Linked DNA regions of Struthio camelus. The protein of the gene in region 1 interacts with the protein of each later gene in a pairwise test. Links are inferred from orthologs where the notes say so. Each region holds a gene or a part of one and is shown on either strand. Other genes may lie near its edges.

Evidence for each region. The genes of interacting proteins can lie anywhere in the genome.
Region 2: the proteins of UROD (region 1) and LRATD2 interact in binary tests that used the Homo sapiens proteins (3 or more experiments, as listed by UniProt). The two-hybrid records come from large-scale screens. The link is inferred for Struthio camelus from reciprocal best matches to the Homo sapiens genes UROD and LRATD2.

Annotation. Positions count from the first base shown.
Region 1 is NC_090949.1:27,115,795-27,122,887, reverse strand, and holds the start of UROD (uroporphyrinogen decarboxylase), read right to left. Parts: upstream 3,012-7,093; 5' UTR 2,986-3,011; coding exon 2,903-2,985; intron 2,164-2,902; exon of another isoform or gene 1,828-2,163; coding exon of another isoform or gene 1,763-1,827; intron 1,581-1,762; coding exon 1,468-1,580; intron 1,377-1,467; coding exon 1,297-1,376; intron 956-1,296; coding exon 893-955; intron 796-892; coding exon 598-795; intron 301-597; coding exon 139-300; intron 1-138. Other genes in the region: E3 ubiquitin-protein ligase HECTD3, read left to right, coding at 3,238-3,564, 4,104-4,264, 5,636-5,728, 6,051-6,186, 6,625-6,740, 7,037-7,093. UniProt on the Homo sapiens protein: Catalyzes the sequential decarboxylation of the four acetate side chains of uroporphyrinogen to form coproporphyrinogen and participates in the fifth step in the heme biosynthetic pathway.
Region 2 is NC_090943.1:161,576,775-161,584,445, forward strand, and holds the start of LRATD2 (protein LRATD2), read right to left. Parts: upstream 3,020-7,671; 5' UTR 2,998-3,019; intron 2,429-2,997; exon of another isoform or gene 1,803-2,428; intron 1,687-1,802; exon of another isoform or gene 1,610-1,686; intron 1,246-1,609; 5' UTR 1,241-1,245; coding exon 344-1,240; 3' UTR 1-343.

The sequences.
Region 1 (7,093 bases):
CGGAGATGCGGGGCTAGGAGAGTCATGGGTGCCACACACCCCAGTCCTTCTTCCCTCTCCTCCTCCTGGCTGCTAGACCCCCTCTGCTCGTTGTCCTTAGTCTCTGCCCTCCTGCCCAGACTTGGCCCTGGGACACACCTGCGCTCCAGCAGCCACCTGCCCCACCAGGTAGTCAGTGATGACGTCAGCGAGCAGCCGCAGCAGTCGGTGGCTCGCATCAGGGTGACGATAGAGCCAGCTCTTGGCCTTGGCCATCGTAGAGGAGCCGCCACCTTCAATCATGTAGGACATGAGCGTCCACTGCGGGAAAGAGAGAAGGTGGCGAAGAGGGAGATGGAAGGTGTGAGGGACCAGTCACGGGATCAGTGCTGAAGGCAGGACCTGTGAATGCCCCAGAGCCTGGGGATCAGCTTCTCCCACATCAAACACCCCCCTGCCTTACACAGGATGAACTACACTACTGACACCAGTAGTGTAGTTCCGGTGACACAGGTCCTTGCAGCTCTGCGGGTGCTGGGGATGGCATTACCCCAGAAGAAGGAGCAGGGAAGACCACGCCCGGCTGGAAATCCCACCTCATGGAGCCCCATCACTTACAGGTGCCCCAGAGAAGCCGATAAGGGGCACCTTGCCCTCCAGGCTGTGCCGCGTCAGTGTGATGGCCTGGAAGACATAACCCAGCTCCGCGGTCACATCCACCTTCTGCCGCAGTTTCAGCAGATCCTCCACCTCCTTCAGGGGCTCTGGGAAGGTGGGTCCTTTGCCAGGTGTCATGACAACTTCCATGCCTAGTGCCTGGGGATGGGGGAGAGAGGAGGAGGCAGGAATGGGGCAGCCCTGGATCCAGGCCCCTTCCCAGCCGCTGCTTCCCGCGGCCAGCCACGGCACTCACCTGGGGCACCACCAGGATATCGGAGAAGATAATAGCAGCATCCAAGGGGAATCGTCTGAGTGGCTGCAGATGGCAGAGAGGAAGAAGCAATGTAAGTGAGGGGCCCAGAATCCCTCCTCACAGAGGGCTCAGGCATGCACATAGCCACCCCAGGCAATAGGGTCCCTGAGGCGAGGCAGGGATCTGCCTGGTTAAAGGTGGTTGTACAGCCCATACTGCCCTGTCCCATCCCAATGGGTTGCTTGGTGGCTATCAAAGGCCCCTTGAGCTAGGCTTTCAGCGACACAACCTCCTGGGAGATGTGGCCACCCAGAGTAAGAGGCAGACCTAAGGGACAAGGAGAAACCCTGTCCCAGACTGGGAGAAGAGAGGGGACGCACAGGCCTCCCCAAGGTGCTGCTCACCTGCAGCGTCAGCTCACAGCACACCTTGGGACTCTGGCAGGTGGCGAAGAAATCCTGCGCAGCCCGGGTCTCCCGAAACTCTGCAAGAGACAGGCACGAGTGTGACAGGGCACGCGTGGGGAAGTGCCAGCTCTGCCTCACTGCCCAACTGGCACCCGTTCGTCTACTCACCAGGCAGGTAGCGCCCTGCCTGCCGCATGCACCACACTGGCGTGTACTCTGTCTCCTCACCACGGGCTGCTCGCAGAAATGTGTCATTCTTCAGCTTGGGGAAGCCCTTGGGGCTACAGCCAGGAAGGAGCAGAGATAGGCTGTTACTAGAGAGAAAAGGGGCCCGGGTGCCACTTACCCCTGGAGCAGAGGGAGACCACGCAGGCAGGACGGGCTGGGAGGGTGATGCCTTGCATGGGGCCAGTAACATGCTGCCCGGCCTCTTGCAACAGCATCACCAGCACCGGCTTCTTGCCTCAGTTTCCCAGCAGGACAAGGGGCTATGAGAGACTCCTTGGTGCTGCCAGGGCTGAAGGGCATCTCGGAGAAGGGAGACCAGTGCTTTCCCCTGCTCACGGCCAGGCAGGCCGGGGGAAGAGCAGAGCCAGGCTGGTCCCCAGGCACCAGACCCCCGTGGCACTCGCTGGGCTGTGCAGGGCGCAGGGGCACGGCTCAACCACGGCTCCCGGCACTCCTCCTGAGGCAGCGCCACGCCGGGTGCCAGGACGGGGCTGGCAGCCTGTCCTCGCTGCCCAGCCGACCTGCAAATACTTCTCAGGGCCTCTTCCTGCTCTGGATCTGGCCCTACAGGGCCCGAGGACAGGGCCAGCGCAGGGGGCCTCCCTGGGGACAGGCAGTGCCTTGCCCAGGGCCCTGCGAGATTAAGCTATCAGGGGCAGCAGTTGCTCCCGCTGGGAGAGATTCGGGGCGGCCGGAGCCCGGGCGGCCCCGCCGCGAGGTGTCCCCGAGCGCGCGGGGCGCTCCCCAGCCCCTATCTCGGCCGCGCAGGCCTGGGTGGGTGACGCGGGGCTGAGCCCCTGCGAGCCACGGCAAACTCAGTGCATGTGCTGCTCGGCAGCAGGCGAGTGCGCGCTTACCCGGTGGCCTCCGCTTCCTCAGACCCCCGCGCGCCCCCCGACCCCTTCGGGGTGGCCCGGCCGGGCTGGCAGCGCCGAGGGGGGATGGAGATGCCGGCCCCTCGGGGGTCCCCCAGCACAGGGCAGCCCCTGCCCCCCGTGGGGACAGGCCAGCGCTGTCCCACGGCGACAGGGCGTGAGGCCGCGCCACCAGTGTCCCCAGTGACCCCTCCCCGTGTGGGAGCAGCGTCCCCGGCACCCGATCAGCGCGGCACCAGCATCCCCAGGGCCGCGCCACTGTCCCCAAGGGAGGGCCCAGTGCCGCACCAGTGTGCCCAGTACGGGACTCCAGTACCGCACGGGTGTCAAACAGGTGTCCCCAGCGCTGGCCCCCGGTGTGGCGGTGCGGGCGCAGGGGAGGTGCTTGGACCCAGTCCCGGCCCCCCCCCCCGCCCCGCCGCACCGGAGGGGGCTGCGGCGCGGCACGGCGGAGGGGGGGGGGGCTCTGCCCACCGCCCAGCCGGGCCCCGGCTACTCACACCAGCCGCTCGCTGCCCTCCATCCTCCGGCGCCGCGCTCTCCGCTCCGTCCCGCCCCCGCCCCGCCCCGCGGGCGCCGCCATCTTGTCGCGGTCCCGCCCCTCCGTACACTGCGCGGGCGCCGCCATCTTGCCCCGCTCCCGGCCCTTCCGTACGCGGCCCCGCGGGCGCCGCCATCTTGCCCTGCCTCCGCCCCGCGGGCGCCGCCATCTTGCCCGGGCAGCGGGCGGGGTTTGCCGTAAACCCGCGAGTAGTGACCCCCCGGCTTCAGTGCTGGGCTCGGCCACCGCCGCCGCCAGCGGGGACCGGAGGCCGCGGGCCGGTGCGGGAGCGCGATGCGGGCGGGCGGGGAGGCGCCGCACCAGGTGCTGGGCCGGCTGCGGTTCCTGCTGCAGTGCAGCGAGTGCTTCCGCCGCGCCCGGGCGCTGCCCGCCGCGCTCTGCTACGTGCCGCGGGAGGTGCAGTACAAGATCTGCAAGGACCCCGCCGCCGCCGGCGCCGCCGCCGCCCGCAGCCTGCTCAGCGTCTGGGACAGCCCGGGGCCGGCGCGGGGCGGCAAGCGGGCGGCGCGGGCCACCATCGAGGTGCGGAAGGGCGGCTGCCTCCGCGCCACCGGCGAGGAGTACTGCAACGGCGCCGGGCTCTGGGTGAAGCTCAGCAAGGTAACGGCGCCGGGGCCGGGGCGGTGGGTGCCGGGCCCGGTGCCCGCCCGGGCCGCTGGAGGGCCGGGGGAGGCCGCTGTCCGCGGCTGGGCCCGGCTGGCAGCCCCCGGCCCCTTTCTGTCGCCGTCCGGTTCCCCCCAGCGGCTCCCCCCACCCGTCACCACACTGTCGCCGCCGTGTCGCCGGCTGCTCTCCGTCACCCTCGCCGGGGCAGGGCTGGGGCGCGCGGCTGAGGCGGGAGTGCGGGTGGTGTTTTGGGGTGGGGGGGGAAGGGGGTCAGCACACCCGTGACAGATCCGCTGTCCCTCGGAGTCCGTCCTCGCTGCGTCTTCCTGCCGCCGTGCGTGGCTCACTGGGCAGCGGGGTCCGTCGCAGCCGCTGCCGGCGGCCCGCCAGCCGGTGGGCCTCGCTGGTGGGCCTCGCCGCTGCTGGCCACGCTCCCTGGCGCGTCCCCAGGGCTGTCTTCTCCGCCCTGCTGCCACGCTTCCGAGTACGAGCCGGGGCCTGGGGGGCCTTACGGGACGTGTTTTCCTGTGCAGGAGCAGCTGGAGGAGTACAAGAGCGGCTGTGACCTGGAGGAAGGCTGGGTGCTGGTGTGCAAGCATGCAGAAGGAGGGGACCGGCTGGTCCCGGTGGAGTCCATGGAGAGGATCCAGAGGCAGCAGCAGCTGTTCGGGGTCGATTACAAACCCGTGATCAGGTACAGGGCCGTGGGTCTCACATCTTCTCTCCCCCACGGGTCATCATAAGTGACCATACAGTGCAGCTTCGACGGCCCACGTGCAGCACCTCACTGTGTCTGGGAAGGGTGCAGCATGCAGGATAGGGCAACATCCCACTGCAGACCTTGACTTGGAGCAGAAATCAGGATTTTGTTACCCACAGTGAGAAGCTGGAGACCTGCATGTTAAACCTGGTCCTCAGCTGTAGCGTTCAGGAGATTGCATATGGCAACGGTTTATGTTCTTGAGTGTGTTTGCACTGCTGTCTCACCTGAGGTCCCTGGCATGCAGACTAACCCTCCCGTCTCTCAGCATGTCCTGTATGTCAGCATGTGCTGGTCCCTGCACTGGGCATCTGCTCAAAGCAGGCCAACTCAGGCAGAGTTACCAGTAGGTAACTCTCCTTCTGAGAGCAACTGTGCTCTGAACTTTCCCCCGTGATCCATGTGTGAATGTTGCTTTTTCAGGTGTACTGTGGTATAGCCACAGTGATGGGAAAAGTGGGAGAAGTAGTCCTTGTTTAAAAAGATCAAAAATACCATTTGTGCTGGTGCCTCAGTGTGACCTCGCACTCTCCAGAGCGCTGGCCCTGATCGTTTGCTGGAGAGCACAAGAACAGCTGTGCTGTGTCAGGCCAAAGGTCTGTCTGACACAATATCCCCCAGTAGCAAAAAGACAGAAGATGCAGTAATTCTTCCCCTAAGTCACTTCTTCCACAGCCTCTAGCCATTCCTGGGTCAAGGACTCCCAGGGCCAGAGATGGTTTCTGCATGTTTAGTAACCCTCTAGTGGATTTTTCCTCCTCCATGAGCTTTTCCGATCTCTCCTTGAATCTATATGAATTTAGCACCTGCAACATCTCGTGGTAGGAATTTCCACAGATTAACCACATGTAGGATGTAGAACCATCTTCCTGAGTGCATTTATACTCCGAGCCTGCCCTCATTGTGTGACATCCCCTTCTCCTTATACCTAAAAGTGCAGTGAGGTTCTTATTGGTCCATGCCCTGCTGCCTGTGATTTTTGCCCCTCAGCACTATTTCTGCTCTGGACTGAAGAGTCGCAGCCCACTTGGCCATTTCCTATATGAATGTGAGACAGTAGGGAATCCAGATCTGGAGTTACCAGGTCTTGCTCGGTCACAGTGCTTTCCACCTGCATAGCTGGGCATGACCTGGAAGAAGTAGAGATGATCTGGAAGGAAAGGGTAGCTGACGAGGCTTGAGGTGATGAAAGATGCAGTGTAGTGGGGAATTAAACCCCCATCACCTCGTCCCAGCTGCTCCTTGACCTCTGGCCTCTCCTTTCTCTGGTTTTCTCTCACTCCTGCCTTCTTTGGGTTGTTTCAGGTGGGAGCAGGTGGTAGATCTGACATACTCCTTGCGCCTCGGAGCAAAACCCAAGCCCATGGAGCAGGATGAGGCTGCGGTAGAGAAGCTTCGGTACGAGCTAGTCCCCGGTGTGCGTGGGTTTCAGCTGTGGGTGGGAGAGAGCTGCTGTTTCTCCCCCACTGCTCAGACAGCCGTCTCCTGCAGACTGGGGCGGGGGGGAAGAAAGACAGGCAGCAGGAAATGGGGTGGGGGGGGTGGCTCTGCTCAGCACAAACAACCTTGTCCTAGATAAGCCTGCACAAATCACTAAACAGCATGAGACCAAAGCAAGCAGGGCACAGACTCGCCTTCCCTGACACATTATCCTAGCAGGGTTTAATGCAGCCTTGTTGTCCCTGGGTCTCCAGGCCCGTTAACCCTCTTGCCTTCATAGGTATGTGCCCCCAACGTGGACGTATGAATGCGATGAAGACCTGGTGCATTTCTTGTATGATCACATTGGGAAGGAGGATGAGAACTTGGGCAGCGTCAAGCAGTACGTGGACAGCATCGATGTCTCATCCTACACGGTGAGCAGCATGTGAGGAGCGGTGCAGGGCTGGGCCAGCCCTGCTGGGCTCTGGGGCTGAGGAGCGTGGATGGCGCTCTGTGCAGTGCGCTGCTCTGGTCTGTGTGTTGGACGACATGAGAGAGAAGGCCTAGGCTCAGAGAGGAGTGTCATGTGATGTGCTGTGTGGGAGTAGTGTGCGACCTGTGATCTGAGAAGCAAATGCTGATGGTAGCTGCTGAGCTGGTTTTAGGGAGTGCGCTTCTGCCCGGTGTGGTCCCAGAGCACTTTAGGGCAGCCCCAGTATCCTGTGCTCTCTATATGGGAACCTCTGTCTTCCCACAGTCCAGCAAATGGGGCTGGGCCAGCTGAACACCCCTCTTATACTGAGAGTAGCCTCTAATGGGCAAGTAAGTCCTGCCCCCATCTGATCTTTGATTCATTCACTGCCCTCTTCCAGGAGGACTTCAATGTGTCGTGTTTGACCGACAGCCACGCAGACACCTACTGGGAGAGCGACGGGTCCCAGGGCCAGCACTGGGTGCGGCTCAACATGAAGAAAGGCACCATTGTCAAGTGAGATGTCTTTCCCCTTGCATGTTGGCTCGTGGCTGGGATGGGCTGCGCAGCTGCCAATCTGTGTGCATGTCCATCGTGGCCCTGGTTTGCCCTGCCCTCCCTACTTCCCTGGCCCTTGTTCCGTGCTCTGGCTCTGGACTTGACAGGTTCTTAGCCAGCATCATCATAAGTAACTAGTGCTCCTAACACCAGTTGCATGTGCTCAATACAGATGTGGCCAGGCCACGAGTGGGGCGGTGGTGGGTGTTCAGATGCAGGGCTATCTCCACCTCATTTCGTGGTTCCTTTTGCAGGAAGCTCTTGCTGACAGTGGATACCACCGATGAGAACTTCATGCCCAAGCGGGTTGC
Region 2 (7,671 bases), on another chromosome or scaffold:
ATGTCAAAGGCATTTAGCATCTTGTAGGGTCAGGCCTACTGGCAGATGGTTGAGGGAAAGGCTATGCGCTTAGACGGCAGAGAGGAAGGGAAAGAGGAGGGAGTGGAGAAGGGGTAGGATGGCCCTGAGTTTTATCCTCTGCAAATAAGTCAGTGCTCCATCAAGCACTGAAGGAGTTAAGCACTAAATCACAGACACTTAATCAGCTTTCCCCCTTCCTTTCACATGTGATTGGAATGAAGCTGCACTGAAGCAGCCCAAAGGGTTTATAACAGCTCAATTTCGCAGCCTTCAGTTTTAATCCCCATCACCCAGCCTAAGCAGCATGGTGGTGCTGAGGCTGCTACTCCATAGCAGTCTGAGCACCTGGATGATGATCTTCCTCCTCCTCTTCTTCCTCCTCCTCTGCAGCCTGCAGGTGGCTGGAGAGCTCCTGGATCACAGCAGCCCTACCAATCTGGTCATTTCTCCTCTTCTCCATGATCAGATCCTCTAGGCTCTGAAACTCCAGCGTGTGGCTGCGCTTGTCACCCAGCCGGATCTGCAATCGGTAGGGCTGCTTGCCTATGCGCAGCTCCCCGCCGATTTTAAACTCCCGCTTGCCATACCGGCACCAGGCAGCAAAACACTCCGAGTTTCTCCAGCTCAAGTCCCGGTCCTTGCAGCCCACCTGCTCCAGGGCGTTGCGCACCACAGTGGCCGGGCTCAGCGGTTTGTAACGGTACAGCCAGTTGGCAATGCGGCCCCGTCTACCCTGGCTTGCGTCAGTCAGGAAGCTGTTCACCACCTCCAGCCTGTGCAGGTGCACGACTTGAAAATCCCCGACGTAGACCACCCAGTGCGGATACTGGGCCTGGCACACAAACTCCACCAAGTCACCCGGTTTGCACCTATTCAGCAGGTTCTCCGGTGTATATGTGCTCAGGTGCCCCCCACCTCCTTCACCACCCTCCTCTGGCAGCGTATCCTCCTCAGAAAAGCTCTTCTGGTAGATGCACTCATCCCGGTAATAGACTGAGCACTCCACCTCATGCAGCTGGGGATCATAGGGCTGCAAGGCAGGGTGCTCACCTCCCAGATCATGCACCGAATCCTGTTGCTGCTCCAGCTCATCATCATCATTCGAGAAGATGTAGGACACCCCGATCCTGGGCCCCTCATCTCTGTCCATACCTGTCGGGTCAGCCGTGGGAACTTCCTTGTAGTTCAGATGCGTCAGCTTCTCCACCTGGTTCCCCATGCCCACTGCAACAACAAGCAAACAATGGGTCCGTGAAGGCAGGAGAGGCAGCAGAGGGATGGCAGGGCATGGACCCAACCAGCACCCCACCTCTGCTGGCCACAGCACAGCTTTTGGGGGGGGGGGGGGGCAAGCAGGTGGAAGAGTACCATGGGCAGGGCCAAAAAGGCAGTCAGAGCCCAAGGCAGTGACCCGAGGGGGCTGCAGAGGAGAGGAAGGAGACCCTCACCCTCCTACCGACCCGGGGGAAGGGGTGCTGGGGAGGAAGGCAAGGCCGCACGGCCACCTGTTAGTGTTAGCCGGCAGGGAGGAGGAAGAAGGAGGAAGGTGCGGGAGCAGGCGGCGGAGTGAGGAAGCACCGTGCCTAACCCGTCAGCGGGGGCCGCAGAGGGCCAGGGGGGCCGCAGCCCCCTCTTCTCCTGCCCGGGTCTCAGGGTCCAAGCGGGTGGCGGCGGAGTTGCGCGCTCTCCCCAGCCGGGCCGCCGGGCAGGTGCGCCTCCTTCCTTCCTCCCCTCCTCCTCCTCCTCCTCCTGCCCCGGCACCAGGGCGGTTGCAAACTTACCCGGCGGGGAAGGCTGCGCGGCGCCGGGAGCGGCTCTAGGGCGAGCTGGCGGCGGCCCGGCTGCCGGGGCTGAGCGCGGAGCGCGGCTGGCGCATGGTGCGCATGGTCCCCCCGGCCCGGCTCCGCTCCGCTCCGCTCCGCGCGCAGCAGCAGCGCCCGTGCGCCGCGCTGCCGGCACTCGGGGCTGTGCAACAAGCGCCGGAGAGGCACGGCCAAGGGGAGGGAGGCTGGATCCGGTTGCGGACGCCCCGGCGAGCGCTCAGCCCCCAGTATTTAAAGAGGCAGCTCTTTTTTTTTTCCTCCCCCCCCACCTATTTTTCTTTTCTTCCCCCCTCCCCACTCCACCTTTCCTCCTCCCCGCACCTTTTCCCTTTCTTCTCTCCTACATGCTAAGCGCTTTGCTCCCCTCCGAGGTTGATTTGCAAGCGGAGGTCGGCCGGGAGGGCTCTCGGCGCCACGGCTGCAAGACTCTCCGCGGCGCCTGGCTGCGGGAGCGTGTGTACACACACACTCGCACACACACGCACACGCACACGCACGGGGGTGCTGCCGAGCCGCTGCTCCTTTAAGGGAACGGTGCCACAAAGCAGCCCGACCTGCCGGTAACTGGGAGCCGGAGTTTGCCCGGGACAGCACCGGGAGGCGATGCAAAGCCTGGCACCCTGGGAAAGCGCCCGCCCGCAGCCCCTCTCCGCGGAGCCCCCCTGCCCCCCGCCGGGGCGCCGGGAGTTGCCTCCTCGGGGCCGCAAGCAATAACGGGGAAGTTGTAAAAGCCCACAAAATCAAAGAGCCCGACTCTCCTGGGCTGACTTAGCGTCTTAGATTCCATCGTGAGCGAAGCATATAATTAGTTTTATTAATTTCTTTTCTTCCCGACTCCAAGCGATCGCTCTCTTTTTCAATATAGAAGGTTATGATTCTTTCCCCCTAGAAAGGAATTATCAGAACTGATGGGAATATTTTTCTTCCTGGGTTTCGGGGAATGCAAAACACTAAAGTCTGCTTTTTCATTAATGCCTAGTTAAGTCTACTAGGTAGGTTTATTATTCTCACTATTTCCACATGCCCTGGTAAATCCATGCTGTTAAAATAGACTTTGCACAGAGAATTTATGGGAGCTAGGAGTAATGCCTTTAAATTGTCTCATTTATTCCCTTTGTCTATAGCCTTGTAATTTGTAAAGCGAAGCGCTCACCGCTGTTTTGAGGATTCGCTAAGCAGCAGCAAGTGAAGGAACAAACGGAGTGTTACCAGGGTGCTGGGCACTGCCTACGAACTCGAAGAATACCATTTCCCTCAGATTATACGCCTCTGTGATTTCAAATATAGACCTGCCCTTTGGGGGTGGGGAGAAGAGCTGCTGCTCCAGGGAGATGAGCGCTGTGCTCTACGCGGGATGGTGGGGCAGGGAAACGCGCTCAGCCCCAGAGGAGGTGACAGGCGGCTGGATTGAGACTTGTTTGTTTTGAATTCAGCTACTGGCTCTGTCTACATGAGTATTTTAGTTCTCATCAGGAGTGTGCTTTTGAAGTGAATTTCCAGACCCCCTCCACACACACACACTTTCATTTTGCATCCCAGATCATTTTCAAACAATGCAAACTGGATTTCTTTCACATTAAACTAAACTAGATGTACTCCAGCCACAGCATCAGACTAGAGCTAGTCTAGTAAACCTCCAAAATGTGTGTAATGTAAATATTACACTGTCACCACTGCCTATTTCACTCTGCAGTTCCTCTTCTCTTGTGCTGCACTATTTGCTGATGTAGCTGGTGTTGGACAAAAGAGGGCCCTGCTTCATAATCAGAGCTTTGTGAAATTGCTTCAGTAATTAAGGATGGGCAAGTGTAGAGCTGAGAGTCTGCTGAAAGGGGGAGCTGACCTGAACATAAAAGTGACTTTTAAGTGTTCTCCTATTTGTACCGAAAGCTGTATCTTGGACTGTACCTTACTGTCTTTTGAGCAATTTTATTTCTTGGCTAAAATGGTTTAGCAGCCTTATGTTAAAGGCCAAGTTTCTTTTTGAATTTACTACAATGTGTGGAAAGTTGTGCTTGTGCAGAAGTACAAGCTCAGTGTTCCCTAGAAGAGTTGCTCATGCACGTGCGCACGTCCACACTTACTTGCAGCTCTTCTATCTTGTTCTCTCATTTCTTCCTGTCTGCTTCAGCTCACACTAGTGCTTAATTTTCTGCACCTTGTCAGTTGCTTTGATCTCTTTGATCTCTTTGAGTTTTCTTTCAATGACTGCTCCTCAGAACCCATATTCTCTGATCAATCTCCTGCTTTCTAGGATCAGAAACCGTAGGCAAATATTTTTGTGTCGTAAAACACACACATAACAGCATACTGCACCTGCAGATAAGGTATTGGGGAGGAAATCCACAAAAGGCTTTTATTGCTTCTATATTATTTGGGCTGGAGCCCAAAATTAAGATGCTTAAAATTTCTGCATGCTTAGCCTCTGAGCCTTGAAGCGGCTAAACTCTGCAGGCCTTTCACAAGGGATGGAGGGTGGAGGGTGAAAATGAAATGCAGTCTCTCCTGGTGACCATACTTTTAAAGAGAGCATTGACCTCTTGCACCGCTTTTGAAAAAAAGAACTTTGGTACTTATCTGCCAGAGATAATCTGATCTGAGGACCTGCAGTGGAGGGAGGAACCGTTTCACAGTGCTGCCCAAACTGGAGTAGGGCAGAGTTGAAGACACACCTCTGTCCTTGCTATCGGAAGTTACTCCTCATTCGGCATGCTGGCTTTTGTAATTCCATTTTGAGATATTCAGCTCTGTGCACATGCCGCAGAGGGAACGAAGGGCTGTGGACAACACAGTTGTAGCTGTGCCTAGTGAAGTCAATGGGGATGTCCACATTGTTAAATAAGGTATTTCCCTCAGTGATTCCCTTAGGGCCTGGGGGTGATCTGTGTATCCCACTTGTGTCTCAGTCACTTGGTCATCCAGATTGCATAAGAATTAGTTAGATTATCTTTTGGAGTGAATCACTCTCCTCTCAAACAAAACCCAGGTGTGGTTTTGGGCCTGGTTCACTCCAGGAAACTCCTCCATCCATATCCTTCCGAGGAAGTAGGAGTAAAGCTACATGCGGTCTGGCTCCTCCTGCTCTACACAGCTCCCCAAAACTTTCCTAGCTGACTTTGCACCTGTAAGCACATCTGTATACTCTCAAGCTGTTGTCGAGGTATGCAGCAACGCATACCTCCAATTTTGTCATATAAATAACATCCTAGTGGGTTGCAACATGGCCCATAAGTTATTGCAGATGCTTTAAATTTAGATTCCCCGTAATTCCCCACACCTGAAATAGTGCTTTTCATGTCAGGGCTGAAAAGACCTGTCATGGTGCAGGGCTCTCATAAAACCCAAAGCTGCATGGTTATACAGTCCTTTGATGCATACAGTCCATAGAGGGTAGTGTACTCCTTAGCTTAGAGATGATGGATCATCCATGGAGCAGGCACATTTAACAGTCTGTATCACTGTATAGCTGATATGATCCAGGGATTTTTGTAGAGCTAAAGGGTTGCTTCAGAGTTAAGCTTTATAGTTTTGAGAATTAGGCACCTAAGTTATTTTGTTGCTTCACTACTATCTCATCTTTAACCTACACACATCTGACAACCAGAGATTAAAAAGATGATGTTGATTTGAAATTAGAATTCTTCCATTACTTGGATGTGGAATGCTGTACTCTGATTGTTATTGCTGTTGAAAGATATTCACTATGAGAAGAAATAGCTCTTCTTGTTATATGTTTATATTTTCATCTTAGAGACCAGACTTCTGAGTTAGTATCATGTTCTGTAAGCATGTTGTGTTTTGCGGATATTCACTCAGCTGATGGTTATGACACCCTTGAATTATTTAATCACTTCCATTTCTTTTTTCAGTAGAGTTTTATGAGAACTGAGATAAATTATGCTCCATTTGGCATGTAAGTGCTACACTGCATCGTAGCCCTATCACCCTGGAATGCTTAACCACCATGGTGAAATTAGGGGCACTAGCGGATTAAACCACTTCCTAGTGAGGTTAGTGAAAGTTCTTCCACTGAGTTCTGTGAAACTTAATCAGGCGCTTAACTGAGGCAGGTGTGTGACTTGGGAGCTCCTGGTGGATGGTGATCTTTCCATGGCTTTCTGGAGAGCTAGAGCTAAATCCACAAAGGGGAGGTAGATTCTGAATTGTAACACCTTGTTGGTCAACTCTTTGCCCTCCAGTGGACTCCTCAGCCCTGAGACAGGCACCAAGTTCTTGTAAAGCTGGGCATATCACCTAAAATGAGATTCATCAAAGCTGGTAGCCTAAGCTAGCTGGTAGAGAGTAGTACAGATAGGGATAGTTAGAGTTCTAACAGTTATTGGAAAATCATACTTCCTTTCACTCATGTTAAGGAGTCTAATATTCTCCCAAGGTCAAGTGCTTTAAAGTTTGGTCATTTCTCACGCACAAGAAGAAATGGCGCTGCCTTAGTTCATCGAAAGCCTTAATAGTTTAGATAGCTTCCTTGGGGTATAAAAGACCAAGGTGGAAGTCTCTCATCTCTCTGAAGGAACTTGAACCCGTATCTCCCAGGAGAGTACTGAAAGCCACCAGACTGTAGGCTATTTTTGAGTGAGTCGTGCTCAGTCTGTCCCACTGAAGCTGTTCAGCTTTGTATGGGCTCGTAAAATATCTGTTCAGTCAATGAGAAAAAAAAAAAAAAAGAATGACAATGGCTCCTTAGATCAGAAGCAGGAAGGGGATGAAATTGCTCTAAAGTCCTTCTATAATGAATATTCAGATGTCACACACCAACTTCAGCAGGATTCACTCAGAGACACCCACCAGAAAGATCTGAAAGTTTTGCTTTTGGGACATGCTCATGGGAGAGTTATGTTCATGTCTCCTCAGACAGGGAAGTGACTGAGCCTCTAGATCTCGCATATCCTGCATGCCTGGTATAACCCAGATGCTACTAGTTATTGGCTCCTCTTGATTCTAACATGGTTAGAGCCATTCTGATACTTCTATTGGACTCGGCCTCACAACTGACCTAGGCAGGGACATACCTAGTTTGTGACTTGTATTGGGGCTCATGCATGAAATAAGCACGGAGCTGTTCCACGCTGCTACTGCCTGCTGACTCTGCCTGTGTCCCCAGCAGAAATACTGGGAACTTAGATAACTATAGAATTCAAGTATCTCAAAAAGCCGACACATATAATGAGAATCTGGGTATCTCAAATATTTGACAGTTATGATATTTGACATAACATGAGAAATATAATGAACCTCTGAGGTCAGGAAGGTGACCTCCTGAATTAACACCTAGATGTTTTATCTGCATTTAACCTATAACCTTTGATGTCAACAGTGAAAAGCAATGAGAGACATATGATCTTCTAAACATATGATCTTTGGTGTCCAACATAGTGCAGTTTGCCCCACCATACAGGAAAGATCTGAAAGTGAGGCGAGTGGCAAATCAGAGAGAGATCTGCAACTCGAGAACAGAGAGTGGAAATTTGAATTGCCATGTTTATCACATCAGCAAACACATTTTTTTTCTAAAGCTCTTGCTGGAAGCTTATGGCTCTGTTAACTACTTCCAGCATAGTAATTTGTGACTAAATGTGATCTGTGGCAAAATAAATTGCTGAGATTGCCAAAGCGACAGAGTTTTTGATTGAAGCATTCAAGCTATATCTTGAAGGAAACTTTCCACTGTACGATTTTAATTGGTGCATTCCAGCAAATGAAAATGAAGTAATTCGCATGTCAGCAGAGGCCTAAATTCTTAGGAATTGCTATCAAACTGACTTGAGCAGTGAGCATAGCTTAATTAAAATGCAGTACTTTCTCCCAG